Saccharomyces cerevisiae S288C: one gene and its partners. The protein of the gene in region 1 interacts with the protein of each later gene in a biochemical or structural test. Each region holds a gene or a part of one and is shown on either strand. Other genes may lie near its edges. The genes, in order: RAD53, SLD3 and DBF4.

Region 1 (5,036 bases):
CTTAAGTACTACTCTTTGTTCTTGTAACATACCTAATCCCTCGTTAAACAGACCTGTAGTATCGTTAATTTCCACTTTAAAGCCAATGACAAATTTATTGTTTTTATCCCAAATGATCTTGATTTCATCTCCGTCTTGTAAAAGGAATTTCGTACCCTGTATCATGCGGTTATTATTTAAATAGCTCACGTTAGTTCCGGTGTGGCAATACCAAATATCATCTAAACCTTGTGCCGGAGATTCATACATGCTTTTGCCTACAGCATGCCTCTTTTTGAAAATGAAGCAATGAACTCGAGACAACCTATTGTCTTCAATTTTACAATTGCAATCCTCGGATCTACCAATGAAAAATGGATTCACACCTTGCTGAATCTCCAGGCTTTCTTGAATAATGCTGTCAGGCAATGGTTTTAAAGTTAAAAACCTACCATTACCCTTTTTCTTTGAGCTCTTGACATTCTCAGTATTATTGGAATGTAAAAGTTTTTGTTCTCTAGTTTCTGCTTCAATGCTTTTGGGCTGTGTATATCGAATAGGGGCGTGTGCGGGTATTTTAAATCCTTGAATTTTTCCATCTTGGTCTTCCTGATCCTGTTCTTGAAGTTGTTGCTCCATTTGTAATTTCCTTTGCGCTTTGACAAATTCGTATTGAGCATCGTCCATATTTTCTAATAATTTCTGCTGCGACAACGATTGTGATAAGGATATTTGTGAAAAATCACCATATGATTGTGAGCCCAATGGACTCATCTTGATCCAGGGATGATTCAAGGCTTTTGCAGCTGTCGACCTATTATTTGGATCCACCTGTAACAATGAATCTATGAAATCTCTTGCTTCTTCAGATATCCGGAAATCTTTGAGGGGCCCTTCATGATATGAGCCTCTTCCAATCTGTTTATATAATTGGTCCTGTGTGCTACCACTAAAAGGTAAGTGGCCCGTTAGGATAACATACACAAGACATCCCATTGACCACATATCCACTAACGAAGAGTACTCATTCCTTTCTTCGTATTCATCAGGAGATACGGATGTATCTTTACCTCTGATGACTTCAGGTGCCACATATGCCAAAGTGCCACAGAAGGTTTTCATAAAAGACCCATTTCCTTGTACTTTTGCCAGACCAAAGTCGGTTATCTTTACCAATACAGGATCGTCTTGTTCAATAAGAATATTATCGGGCTTTAGGTCACGATGGCTGATGCCCATAGAGTGAATGTATTTTATTGCTGTGAGTATCTGCCTGGATATCTCCCTCCCAGCATCTTCTCCAACCGCACCATGAGCAGCAACAAAATCCATTAAGTCACCACCAGAAACGAACTCCATCACCATATAATAACTCTCAGTATCTTCATAAAATCCTTTCAATCGTACTATCCTTGGATGATTGAGCTTTTGCAATACTTCTAACTCTCTTGTCACACCATCCATATTGCCTATTACTTTGCGTTTACTTATAATCTTCACCGCGAATGTTTTCCCAGTAGTTCTTTCAATGGCTTTCTTTACTGTGGCAAATGCACCCTGGCCCACCACTTCGTCAATAATCGAAAAATCCTTAAAAATACCAGTCTTGTTGGCCACCATTGATGATGCAGTAGATGATGTAAGACCAGGAGAAGCTATTTTAGAGGTATTTTTCAGGTTAGATCTTATGCGATCAACTTTGTTCTGCTCGAGGCACTGCTTAAATTTGTCGTTTATGAAAATGACCAGAGATAAAATATCTGATTCCACGCCTACACCAACGGTTATTTCATCACCTTGAGACAGTAACTGATTGCTGTTCTTCTCGACTTTTTGCCCATTTAACCAGGTCCCATTAGTGGAAATGTCATTCAATAAAAGGTTACCGTCTTCTCCTAGTAGTATTTGGAAATGCTTATTTGACAGTCTTGAAATGTTTCCTAAATGATAGTCACAGGCTGGGTTTCTACCAAATGTCCAAACTTTCTTTATGGATCGTTTTTCCTTAAGCACTTGTGAAATATCAGCTGACAAATCTCGGATGGGAATTTGACCCGTGGTACAAATGACCCTGCACACAATGTTTTCGCCGATCTGTTCTTGAGAAAACTTCTCAATCAAAAACCTTTGAGTAGCCTGCGTGGATTGCTGTGTGGGTTGTGTAATATTTTCCATTTTTAGTTGATGTTGTGTAACACTATCTTTTCTCACTATTCTCTCTTTTAAAGCTTAAGAAAATCGAATGCATATACAAAATTAGTTTGTCTTCCAATAATCTCTACCGTCCTTTTCTGCTTTCTTACCTTTTCTTGATCAGAGATTTCAAAATGGTAACTTTGGTACCCTTTATCTTCTCAACCTGTACCTTTATTCTATAAATGTTTTCATTTCCAAGTCTACCCACGGTGATGATTTTTCTGCCAATTTTACGCGTCACTCCCGTTGCCGTATCAACGCGTCCACACCACCTCACCCTCGAAATGAAAATAAATATGTTAATAGATGCACGTTTCATTGACATCTGTGACAAACACTTTCCGGCTTAATTAAAAGGAAGCAGGCTATTAATGCACCAACCAAACAAATGATGGTTCACCTCACGCTGAAATCTCATCTAATAAAGGAAGAATTACTTTGGCATGCTTTATCTCCGTCCTATAGTTGCCGATACCACGGTAGATAATACAGTATCATTCTAAAAGTACCATTTAGGTAGGTGCTGAGCGAACCAATAAGTAAGTTTTTGTTTTTTCTCAGTGTTTGCTTTGAATTTACATTGAAATACGTTGTTTTGGACGTACTACAATAGCCGCCATAATAGATTTTCGGGTAACTTTTACACTCTTCCCTCTCTTTCACGTGAGTAAGCACAGAATAAAATCCTAACGGATGTGATAGAACAAAAGGGATATCAATGACAAGAGAGAGGTACTTTATGTTAGTCGCCTGTGCAGAAAGAACAGTCCATAAACAACAATCCGTAAAGAACAATATAAATATTTAGAAAAAGATGTTGCCAGAAAAGAGACTATTGACTCCAGACGATATGAAACTATGGGAAGAATCCCCAACAAGAGCTCATTTCACTAAATTTATTATAGATTTGGCTGAATCTGTCAAAGGACATGAGAATTCCCAGTACAAAGAACCAATATCGGAGTCAATAAACAGTATGATGAACTTGCTTTCGCAAATAAAAGATATCACTCAGAAGCACCCAGTAATAAAGGATGCAGATAGCTCGAGATTTGGTAAGGTTGAGTTTAGGGACTTTTATGACGAAGTTTCACGGAATTCCAGGAAGATCTTACGTTCCGAATTTCCCTCTCTCACAGATGAGCAGTTGGAACAATTATCGATTTATCTAGATGAATCATGGGGAAATAAAAGAAGAATTGATTATGGTTCAGGTCATGAATTAAATTTCATGTGTTTACTTTATGGACTCTATAGTTATGGAATATTCAATCTTTCAAACGATTCAACTAACCTCGTGCTGAAAGTTTTTATAGAATACCTTAAAATAATGAGGATACTAGAAACTAAATATTGGCTTGAGCCTGCGGGCTCTCATGGTGTTTGGGGATTAGATGATTATCATTTCCTTCCATTTCTATTTGGTGCCTTCCAATTAACCACCCACAAGCACTTAAAGCCGATATCAATTCACAATAATGAGCTCGTAGAAATGTTCGCTCATCGGTACTTATATTTTGGTTGTATCGCTTTTATTAATAAGGTCAAGTCATCCGCCTCCTTGAGATGGCATTCTCCTATGCTAGATGACATCAGCGGTGTAAAGACTTGGTCAAAAGTTGCTGAAGGGATGATAAAAATGTATAAAGCCGAAGTCCTTAGTAAATTGCCCATCATGCAACATTTTTACTTTAGCGAGTTTTTGCCTTGTCCGGATGGTGTATCTCCACCAAGAGGCCACATACATGATGGGACTGATAAGGATGATGAGTGCAATTTTGAAGGACATGTTCATACTACTTGGGGAGACTGCTGTGGTATAAAGTTACCGAGCGCTATTGCGGCTACTGAGATGAATAAAAAACATCATAAACCAATACCTTTTGATTAGGAAAAGTCCATTTATAGATGCTATCTCATTGTATATACACGTATACAGGGTACGTACTTTTTCCATCTACTCCCACTAAAATCTTTTGGCGCTTAAGTTGGGGTTCCACGCTAGCCCCGGTTCTGACTCTTTTGTAGCCGTCTCATCCTGTTTCCAAATCTTTATGCTTTTGTCTGCTTCTCCAGTGATTAATCTTAAACCTGTTTTATCGAAAGTGCTACAAAGAACACTCCGTTCACCTTCCAGAGAGCCTACCATTTCTCTCGTGGCCAACGATTGGTATTTGTGACCAGACTTATAATCATAAAAGGAAAGCACACCATTGTCACCGCCAGCGAATAATACATCATCTTGATTAATGCTTAAAGTATTGATTATGCCTGTCTTTTCAGACTCAAAATTGGTGAGTAAAGACCCCTCTGCTAATCCCCATGATCTGATGTCATCAGTACACGCAGAAGCCACCGAAAACTCCTTAGGATGCAACGCTGTAGCTCTCACAGACCTCTTATGATGTGTTAGAACTTTCATTGTTTTCCCAGCAACTACATCCCATAACCTTACCGTAGCATCAGTCGATGAACTCACCACTTGAGGGTCTACTGGAGTACACTGTACTTGATTGATTGGACCCTTATGCCCAACTAGTGTAATAACAGGTATTCTGGTTCTCATATCCCAGAGTTTGATAACGCTATCTCGGCCTGCGGTAGCTATGAGATCCAGCGTTGGATGTATGCTCACCGTACGAACCCCCGATAAATGTCCATAGTAATCTCTAATAATTTGGTTTTTCTCTAGGTCCCAGCATTTGACCGTCTTATCTTCACTAACAGAAAATAAATAAGGATGTCGATCTGACACAGCAACGTCTCTCACTGTCATTACATGCCCTGCTAAGGTAGTTTTTAATTTTCCTGTTGCAAGATCCCAAACTTTCATTGTCGTATCATTACTTCCGGTGATGAAC
Region 2 (5,036 bases), on another chromosome or scaffold:
AATCCAACTAGGACCAAATTTACTAAAGAAGAAACTCAAATCTTGGTTGATACTGTAATTAGTGCATTGTTAGTTCTAAAAAAGGATTTACCAGATTTGTACGAGGGTAAAGGTGAAAAAGTTACGGATGAGGATAAGGAAAAATTGCTAGAGAGGTGTGGTGTCACTATTGGATTTCACATTTTGAAAAGAGACGACGCAAAAGAATTAATTAGTGCGATATTTTTTGGCGAATAGTGAGAATCGGTTTATACTAATAGTACAACGGTAATGTTATATAACAGTTTTTACATACGCCATTGTATGTATATATATATATATGCATGATGAGTTATTTAATTGTATACTCAAAGGCCCCCGAAGTGCGAAATTGTTGTAGCTTAGTTTTATTTTATTCCCTTTTCGTCCAAGAAAAGCTACAAAGATGGAGTTGGGTCAACTACTTGCCAGCGAAGGTGGTCTCGCAGTTTCTTATTCTATGTGGATTCTGGAGCAAATAAACGTCTTCTTACTCTCCTTTTTGAGCTATTTTCCGGGGGCTTATTAGTGGGAGTAGAGGTAATATTGGAGGTATTTTTTCTGCCTTCATGCGTATCATCATCCTTGAAATTTAGCGGCGATTCAATGATGCTTTGAAGTTGCGCCTTTTTATTAGGTGTCACAGTTCTTTTTTTCACAGCAGGAGTGGCTTGAACTTGTACGTTTTCCTCAGAGTCTACACGTTCATGTAGGCGTATCGTTTCATTGATATCTTTACGTTTCCCAACTCTGCGAAAAGAGTTATTCATAGTTTTGTATGCATTAATAGTTGAGTGCGAGAAAGGCGTTTTGAGTGTGATAGTTGATGAATTCGGTACTCTTGTTGTGCTTAAGTCAGAGACAGAAAACTGCCGTTTTTGTAAATGATTCATCGTTAGATCAGACTTCGTCCTTCCCAATTGTGAAGGGCGCTTTAAGCTTCTAGTTTCACTTTCGAGAAATTCATTCAAGTTAGAGTTCGTTCTAGAATTCAAAAGTTCAGGGGTGGGCGAAGCTATAGATTTTCTGCTGAACAAATTAGCGTCCACCCTTCTCAATGCGGGTGAAGATGGGACGGAATTAATGATTGAAGAGCGAGAGGCACGTTGACTCGTGGATAACCTGTTATACGTTTCTACAGTATTAGGTGACGATACATTTGTGCTATCGTTGACCTTTTTCAGGGCTCTCTTTGGTCTCATGCTTGGTCCCTTGAGCTTTTGAATTATAAATTCAACGGCGTGTGGTACCTTTTTGTTGAAATATGGAATAAGAACATAATTTATGAACCCAACCAATGAGGCTTCTTTGCTTTTGTCTAGGATATTTTTTTTATGCTCTTGTATTGTTCCATTTGATGCTTCTATGGCATCTGGGTTGGGCGTTTCACTTGATAGTAGAATGTCCAAGATGCATGCTCTATCTAAGTACAAGTCTAACTGTTCACAATAATCCAAAGATGTTGTTATTCTCTCGATTCCTTTGTCTTTTTCGCTGGTTTTTTTCTTCGATCTTCGACGAACTAATCCCTTTTTTGTCAAATTAAGTGATCTTTTCTTCAATTTTAATTTATACTTTTTCTCAAAATCTCTAAAATTCCAATCTAAATCGTTCAATCCTATTATCTCTAATAGCAATAATATTTGTAGCTTTATTTCGCGGGATTTTAATACAACACATAAATCAGCAATGGTTGAGCTGTTTTTGTTTTCATCTTGGATAACAAATTTTGTGAGACAGTTCTTCCTTTTTTCATCTGCTATGGGACTAGAAAAGGGCTCTAATAAAAGCCTGTTATCATGTCTATCTTTGAATTGTACAATTGAGAGAAGAAATTTTTGCAGCATGGCTTGATAGGCTATTTTGTAACTGTCACTTCCGTACTTGGTTCGGCAGGTATTTTTGAGCCTTACTAAATTTGACTTGACGAAATATGCGAGAGGCGTATGTATGGAAAAAAGAGCATCATAATACTTACTTTCTATGTACTCTTTAGGGTCTGAATAGTAGTCATTAATTTTTGATTCGCCTTTCATATCTGGGGGATTCATATCCAGTTTAAGGTCTTTGTCCTTCTCAAGCTTACACGAGCCCTTGGGTTCTTCTGACCATAAATGAAGAAGCTCTTTAAATTTCAATTCGTCCCATGTTTTTAACGTTTCACGCTTAGCTCTTTCTCTTTCAACTGTCGTTACAACTTCCGTACGCCTTTCTGGTAAGCTGTAACCATTGAAATAATTGTACGGCCACTTAACCCAAAATCCTGGCCCATATTCCTCTAGTAGAAAATACTCTTTTCTTGATTTCATGCAGATGTGTTTCAATTGACGTCGATTCTTCTGTTGCAGTAATTGGAGAATGTTACTGGGCACGTCCTCGGATTTAATAATAAGTGGATGATCTAAGCTCAAGTCAAGGCCTTTTGTTGCTTCTTTTACCGATGCTATGACTTCCCATGTTTCCATTATGAGAGGTCAGATCGTTCCTACCTATACGATCTTAACCCTTCAGCAGTTATGAATGAGGCTTCTGCCTGTTTTAACAGTGCCCATCACTTTTTTTTATTTTTCTTAAATGGACCATGTTGTACACCAAGATAGCCGATATTTCAAGGTCGCGTATAATATAACATTTTGCCTAGGATTTTTGTCACCTAGAAATATATATACAGGGAAATCTAAGACATCGAATTATGTGATGAGTAAATAATTTAAAATTTGTAAACTTTGTAAATTCTTTATTAGTAAAATATTATATACCTAATAGTGAGGGACATTTAAGCAGATGAAGAGCATGTTTATTACGCTAAAGATACCTTCACCTAAGACCAACCCCGAACTGAATACAATCATTTTTGTTTTCGCATTTAAGTCACCCCTATGATTCTTCAACCAAAAATGCGAAGCCCACCCGCCGATGAATCTTGCAATTGTAAAACTGGGAGAATTAAATATACCAACACCGACTGCTACACCAGACGGAATATATAATATCCACCCGTATCCGTAATCTCTATAAGTGTTTCTGATTAATGATAAAACGGCAAATATGACTCCGAGAATCATGGAGCACTCCAAGGCCTTATCAGGGAGCCCTTTACCAGTTACTAGTCTTGCACAATCTATCCACACTACTGCTGTCGGTATCCTGAATTGCTCACTCGGAATTGAATAAACTTTATTGTAGCACAAATACATGAAGCTAGACAAAATAATTGACCAACAGGCCCCTATCAATTGGGCACAGAACTGAGCTCTTGGGGAGGCGCCGAGGAGGTGCCCCGTTTTCAAATCCTGCATTAAATCGCCCGCCTGTTGGGCAGAGGCTTCTGCAATACCTCCCGATACCACGTTCATTAACACTGATCCAGGTCTATCCCTTGGTATGATAAAGGCAAAAATCAATTGAGAGATCTTACCAATGCCGCTCACAGGATTCAGATCGGTCTCTCCAAGTGCTCGAATACCGAGAATAGATAGAAACAACGCAAGTATCAAAGCAGTGATAATAGCATATAGGGGAATTACTTGTATCCCAAACAAATATATTATGGAAACAATGCATATTATCGAGGAGACTAGACATCCACTGATAACGGTGGTATAGCGAACCAAATGCTTCGAATCTACTTCTATTTCGTTATCTCTACTCACTAATCTTACGGTGTCCTGCCTTCCATCAACATATGTATTTCTTCTGCTGCTATTAATGGCGCGTTCCTCCTCCAGTAACATAGATTGAAATGTATCATCGATTATGTTGTTCAGTAAAGCAGCTTTGTCATCTATAAGAATAAATTTCACAATGGACTTCACTGTCACAACAATAAAAGCGACTACACTGTCAGCAACCATTATTGAAAGCGACGACCAAAGAATCCATCCTTGCACTCCCTCCTCCCAGTCGTGGACATCAGCATCTGGTGGTACCCATCTTTTGTATCTCGCCAATGGTGCTAACACACCCCAGCCTAAGAAGCACCCGATAAGCATATACGATACTGTTGGAAGACCCATTATTATCCCTTGGCCTATATACGCAGGCGACGGCTGAAAATTCCAGAGATAATTGTTCGAGAGGTATTTTCCGAAGACTGGAATAGACCGTATTACCGGTACAAAATATGACACCATGGTGTAAAGCGAAGAAACAACAAAAGTTTTCAATAAAATAATAATATTCGCTCTGTAGTTCTCAGAGCCAGTAGAAAGGATAGAACTTCCATCTTGGCTAGTTGCCGTATAATCACCAAGTTCGCTATGAGAAGAGTTCATTAAATAATCCGCCTCCTCTGGATCTCTGTTGGGTTGTAGCACTTCAGGGCATTCATTCAATCTCCTCTGCCTCATTTCCAATAACTCTGACTTAGAAACCTCTTGTAAAATCTCAGTTCCATTTAGCACTGAAATTAAAGTGGCCGTGGCGCTACCACTGGGGAAGGGAAGTTTCTCTCTAACAATTACTTGCTTTCTTAGAGGAACTGCAAAAAAAATACCGAAGAATGCTAGGGCTGTGGACCATATTAACAATTCTCTAAAAGTGAAGGACTGTCCTTGTTCCCTTAATCCACCACTTTCGTCGTTAGTAAGGAACTTCTCGATGGCAGGTATGACGCCGACAAACCCAAAGGCTAATGGGCCTGTTCCGACAGCTACTGCCATACTTTGTACGTATACATTTTCAACGTCACTGAAAGGCCTGTCGTTCGGAAATATTAATGGCCAGATATTTTTAAAGAAAGCACAAGCTAACAATGCCGATGGCAGGGACATCATGGAAACCCAACCGGTTTGCAGGCCAAATTGAAAATTTGATGTTAGCACCAGAGACCCTATAGCGATACCTGCTATGGTTGCTCGGAGTGTTATCTGCTTCAAAGCAGGTTTATTATCCCATGGTACACGCTGTACTTCTTGACTTGGAGTAGATTGAGGCATTTCAAAGTATTTACAGTACCGATTTAGAATCTTTAACGGTTAGTCCTCTATACTGTGACTCTTTTTCTTCCTATCTTGGTG
Region 3 (5,036 bases), on another chromosome or scaffold:
TATCAACCATTAGTCTACTTAATGACTTCATGTTCTTACTCATGACGCTTGCTCTTGTTGGGCCCAAACCATTGCCAAAAGAGGTTGCCACATCATTAGATTGATGTGCACCACTTGCTTTGATTTCAAATGCCTGACGTGACTTTGTTTTCAAAGTGCACAAATCATCCGGCACTTCTTCAGTTTCTTGCCTTGCAAAAGTAGCTAATACTGGATGGTTTAGTTTTGGTGTGGCAGCCAGCTCTTTTCGCTGTGGGTACTTATTCGATTCTTCTGCTATAGATTGTTTATTTTCTTTTTCTTCTTTCAACGGAGGCTCTTTGGTTTCAGTTTCATTTAATAATATACTATTTTTTTCATCGGTTTGGTCAGCATGTTCATTACGAACATCTTGAACTGCGCTATCATCCGTCTTCTTTAACTCGGTCTTCTCAAAATTTTTTGCCTTTTCTTGCATCCATTTTTTGAAGCTCTTGGTAGAATCGTTGCATGTGTGAGGTATGAATATTAGGTTTTTCGTTTGATCATTAACTGATGACGTATTCAGTAAGGTGTCGGCATGATATTGAAATAGAGCACGAAGTTGCAGTGCATATTTTTTGTTTGCTTTGTCTCTCGAGTATCTCTTTACTACGCGCTTATAAGAACTTTCGTCATAATTCCTATCCCCTATAAAAGGGCATCTTCCGAATGAACCTATTTTCAATATTGGGTAAGGTAGTTCGTCTAAGTTTGTTAGTTCTTGAGGTTTCCATTCCAAAGTTATTATGGGGGCCCAAGTTTGCCATAGGTCATAAAGGTATACATGAGGATATTTAAAGTAGTGAATATCGTCTCTTTTAGTTCTGGGGTCTCTATCCGTTGGTCCATATAATTTTTCATTGTGTAGAAGATTGGACAATGTGGGCGCAGCTAAAGAAGCAGATTTAGTCTTGCTCAAATGATCCAAATCAACATCAAGATTTTTCAGAAATCTGGCAGCCTTTTCGTAACTCCAAACTTTCATGTAGTTTTTTTTAGCTCTCGATAAAATGTCGGTATCTTTTAGTAAATATATGTTCTCAACAGACCTTCTTGTGATAACTATTGTGACAGTAGTGTCAAAAAATTGAGTTATTTGCGCACCCAATGTAAGAAACCCTCTTTTCAATAAATCTCTGCGTTTGTCCATCTTGGACTTATTATATGTATTCATCTCTACATCATCAGTAATGTCAAAGTAAATGCGAGAATCTCTTTTCATTATCTTTTTCCAATTTGTTTGCCATTCCAGCAATTCCTTAGGCGTAACCCTTGGCTCGACATTTTTCAGACCCGTACCTTTGCTGACTTGGACAGCGCCTTCAATAGACCTGGCCCTTTCTATTCTGGCCCTTTTCTTTTCATGCAAATGCTGCTGCTGTTGGAGCTCGAGGCGCTCAAGAGATCTTTTCTTCGGAAAGGATTCAGTGGTATTGTTATTGTTGCAATTATTGTCGTTAGAAAACACATTCAAGTGGCCCGCTGCTGTTGTTGATGCGGCAATTCCATTATTATGTTTCAAGTTGGTATCTGTTTCCTTTAACGGAGACCTTATTATCATTTTCGTTGGAGAAACCATTTTCTTCTTTCTTTTCTAAATATGAACCAAAAGCAGAATTCCAAATGCCTTTCAGATTCAAACCTTGAATTCTGAAGATAACTAGCCCTGCAAGCGAATTCAGATCTAAAGGAATCTACACCTGGCTGAGTATAGACTATGCAACTTGATTTTTGTTTTTCTTGGCCTGAGCCATTACCGTTATTATTATCGTTATTTCTTTATTTTTTTCTTTTTCGCAAAGATCGACCTAAGACGCGTTTGCAAAAAAAAAACCATTTACTTACTGCGGGTAAAATATTAAAAGAAACTTAGGCGTTAGCCAAGAACCGATAAGAAAATAAAAATAAAAAAGGTAATGAGGAATTAGATGCAAAGAGATATAGATATAAACACACACACACAAATATATATTTATATACATATGTATGGTGATATATATTCAAAAAAAAAAAGTACAGTAACTTAGAAACTATTAGTGGGACGGATTTGGTTTTCTTATTTCTTTCTTTTTAAAAAACTTTCTTAATATACACGTTTGTGGTTATAAGGTGGTGTAAAGTAATGTAATGATATACACTTTTTTTCTCAATTCTTTACCTTCTTCTTTCGTACGGTGTACTGCGAGAAGTAAAATGGGATGATGAATTAATTTTTCTAAATTTTTCTTCGACACTTAGTTATTTTCTTCTTCCCCTGTCAATCTCAGATTATCATAGGGAAAAATGTAAAGTGCTTTATCGACAACGTATCGCGTATGTATAAATTGATTCATGTTTTGCGTTTGAGCTGAATATGTTTTGTTAAATTTTGTCTTCTTTCTTACTGTTCTTTTTTATATTTTCTTTGAAACTCTTTCTACATCCTCCACATCTTCACTTTCATCTTCAGCCTTGTGGGGTTGTTTCCTATCCATGACGCTGTCGTTATCTATACTATCGTCGTCATCATCGTCATCATCTTCGAATTCGATTCTTTCGTCATCGTCGTCGTTGTCGTTATAGTTGTAAACGTCATCATCTTCAAAGGGGATATGGTTGTTTCCATCGTCGTAGTCGTCGTCTTGTAAAATGACGGACCCGTTCTCATCGTCGTCCAAATCACTATCATACCAAAAATTATCCGCCATATCCTTATTCGATTCTGGTTCATCTAGTTTACTTTGAGATATGTACGCCGATTCAGAAGTGGGCATTATGAAACCTTTAGGGATATCTTGTTTCGATCTTTCCACTTCCATTTTGACTCTTTGCTTGTATTGTTCAGGGTTCTTTCTGTAATCAACAGCGGCATCGACATTTGCTGGCGAGTTGATATTGGGGTCCTCTAATAGAGATACTATAGAGATCAACACACTTTCCACGGTCTGCACGGGGGACCACGTTTCAGCATCAGGTTCGTCGGTCATAGGATCCCCACTTTGATGTAAAATAGAAATACAAAGCCTGCCATCCCTGTAAACGTTTGGATGGTAGATAGCCGGCGTAAATCGAAACTGTGGTGGAGAAAAGGGAAAGTCTTCCGGAAATCTCATTTGAGCTTTGAAAAACCCTCCATGATAAATGGAATCCTCATTTAGCACCATAACACCTATGTTCCAAGTGAAAATATTTGAATCATCCTCTAGTTCTATATGAAATGAGGGAATAGCTTTCTTAGGATCAGTAAGTTCTCTATATTGCCGTAACAGTAAGCTAGAAGCGGTGCTTTTGCGACTACTCATATTTACGTTGTATTGTTCTTTTTTCCTTGTTTGGTGTACTAAAAAATAACAGTCGCTATAAGTCCTAAACAGTAAAGGACAAAGATGTCAGCGGCAGAGAGTATAAAGGAGTACTATTCGACTGAAATAACAAACGCAAAGCTCCTATTATTTTGTAATAGTATGCTCTTTATTGTCCTTCTTAACTTTAAGTTTCTGCTCTTGTTCTTTACAGATTCAAGAGGAAACCAAAAAAAAATCAAAGAAAAAGAATCGAATTTTTCCCAAAATGAAAGTGTAAGGAAAAAAAAAGAGGAGATAGAAAATCCGAAGAACCCCAAGGGACGGACAAACACAAGACGATGCTGCACGTGGTTAGTTTTGTAAGCGCAGGTTACGATAAAGAGCATAAACAAATCATTACTAAGAGCGGTATACAAGAATAAAGTGACAAACAGTTCTCCCTATTTAACGCACTTAACGTAGGTTCCATCATTATGATGCTATTGCCACATCAAATCTCCTTTGGACTGAACCCGCATTAGTAATTGCCCGCTTTTCTTTTCTTCCGCGGGTGGGCCCCATAAATAGAAAAAAAAAGAAAGAAAGCGTTTAAATAAATAGAGTGAGCGGATTTCTATTATCTGAAAACCGGGTTATAATGCACGTGATATGCACGTGGGAGCTGGGCGGCTATTTTTTTCTTTTTCAAATGTATTTGAGTCGTTTAAAATAGCACTCCCCGTTGACCCGCCAACTCATTTTTGTTTTCTCTTTACGGAAAAGGCTTTAAATTAAGGCCCGCATTTTCGGTATCCTTGAGGGAAAAAAACCAAAGAAACCCAAAAAAGACCACAAAGCTGGGATATCTTAATTAGTAGAGAGGGCTTTTAGTTTTAATAGTGTTACGAGTCTCTAAAAATAGCGTAGGCACACTGCCCTGATTCGGACTTTGATCAGAGTTTATTACTACAAAGAGTAATGTTGAATGATTGGGCTGGGTTTTCATAGCATTAACTCTAAGTAATATCATTCAACCGCTCAAGGTTCCTTACGAGCAAACCCATATATGCTCTACAGATAAACATATAAATAGCGTGCATATTCTTCTCTATTCAACTCTTGCTCTGTATAGTTCAATAGAATCTTACAGTACATCACGCTGCAATAGATCTAATCCAAGAGAGAAGCAAAAAAAAAAAGCTCGCTATAAAAATATCATGCAATTACATTCACTTATCGCTTCAACTGCGCTCTTAATAACGTCAGCTTTGGCTGCTACTTCCTCTTCTTCCAGCATACCCTCTTCCTGTACCATAAGCTCACATGCCACGGCCACAGCTCAGAGTGACTTAGATAAATATAGCCGCTGTGATACGTTAGTCGGGAACTTAACTATTGGTGGTGGTTTGAAGACTGGTGCTTTGGCTAATGTTAAAGAAATCAACGGGTCTCTAACTATATTTAACGCTACAAATCTAACCTCATTCGCTGCTGATTCCTTGGAGTCCATCACAGATTCTTTGAACCTACAGAGTTTGACAATCTTGACTTCTGCTTCATTTGGGTCTTTACAGAGCGTTGATAGTATAAAACTGATTACTCTACCCGCCATCTCCAGTTTTACTTCAAATATCAAATCTGCTAACAACATTTATATTTCCGACACTTCGTTACAATCTGTCGATGGATTCTCAGCCTTGAAAAAAGTTAACGTGTTCAACGTCAATAACAATAAGAAATTAACCTCGATCA

Evidence for each region.
Region 2: of the proteins of RAD53 (region 1) and SLD3, one has a biochemical effect on the other in vitro, tested with the Saccharomyces cerevisiae proteins (4 studies listed by BioGRID).
Region 3: the proteins of RAD53 (region 1) and DBF4 form a complex in vitro, tested with the Saccharomyces cerevisiae proteins (6 studies listed by BioGRID, with this or other methods).

What each region holds. Positions count from the first base shown.
Region 1 is NC_001148.4:262,039-267,074, forward strand, and holds the start of RAD53 (serine/threonine/tyrosine protein kinase RAD53), read right to left. Parts: upstream 2,155-5,036; coding exon 1-2,154. Other genes in the region: YPL152W-A (uncharacterized protein), read left to right, coding at 2,564-2,662; peptidylprolyl isomerase RRD2, read left to right, coding at 2,990-4,066; mRNA splicing protein PRP46, read right to left, coding at 4,142-5,036. UniProt on the Saccharomyces cerevisiae protein: Controls S-phase checkpoint as well as G1 and G2 DNA damage checkpoints. Phosphorylates proteins on serine, threonine, and tyrosine. Prevents entry into anaphase and mitotic exit after DNA damage via regulation of the Polo kinase CDC5.
Region 2 is NC_001139.9:293,379-298,414, reverse strand, and holds SLD3 (Sld3p), read right to left. Parts: upstream 2,484-5,036; coding exon 477-2,483; downstream 1-476. Other genes in the region: TATA-binding protein-associated factor TAF6, read left to right, coding at 1-237; YGL114W (uncharacterized protein), read right to left, coding at 2,778-4,955. UniProt on the Saccharomyces cerevisiae protein: Required for loading and maintenance of stable association of CDC45 with chromatin during initiation and elongation of DNA replication. Also involved in temporal regulation of origin firing. Required for the association of PSF1 with origins.
Region 3 is NC_001136.10:559,026-564,061, forward strand, and holds the start of DBF4 (protein serine/threonine kinase activating protein DBF4), read right to left. Parts: upstream 1,601-5,036; coding exon 1-1,600. Other genes in the region: SCF E2 ubiquitin-protein ligase catalytic subunit CDC34, read right to left, coding at 2,415-3,302; PST1 (Pst1p), read left to right, coding at 4,502-5,036. UniProt on the Saccharomyces cerevisiae protein: Regulatory subunit of the CDC7-DBF4 kinase, also called DBF4-dependent kinase (DDK), which is involved in cell cycle regulation of premitotic and premeiotic chromosome replication and in chromosome segregation.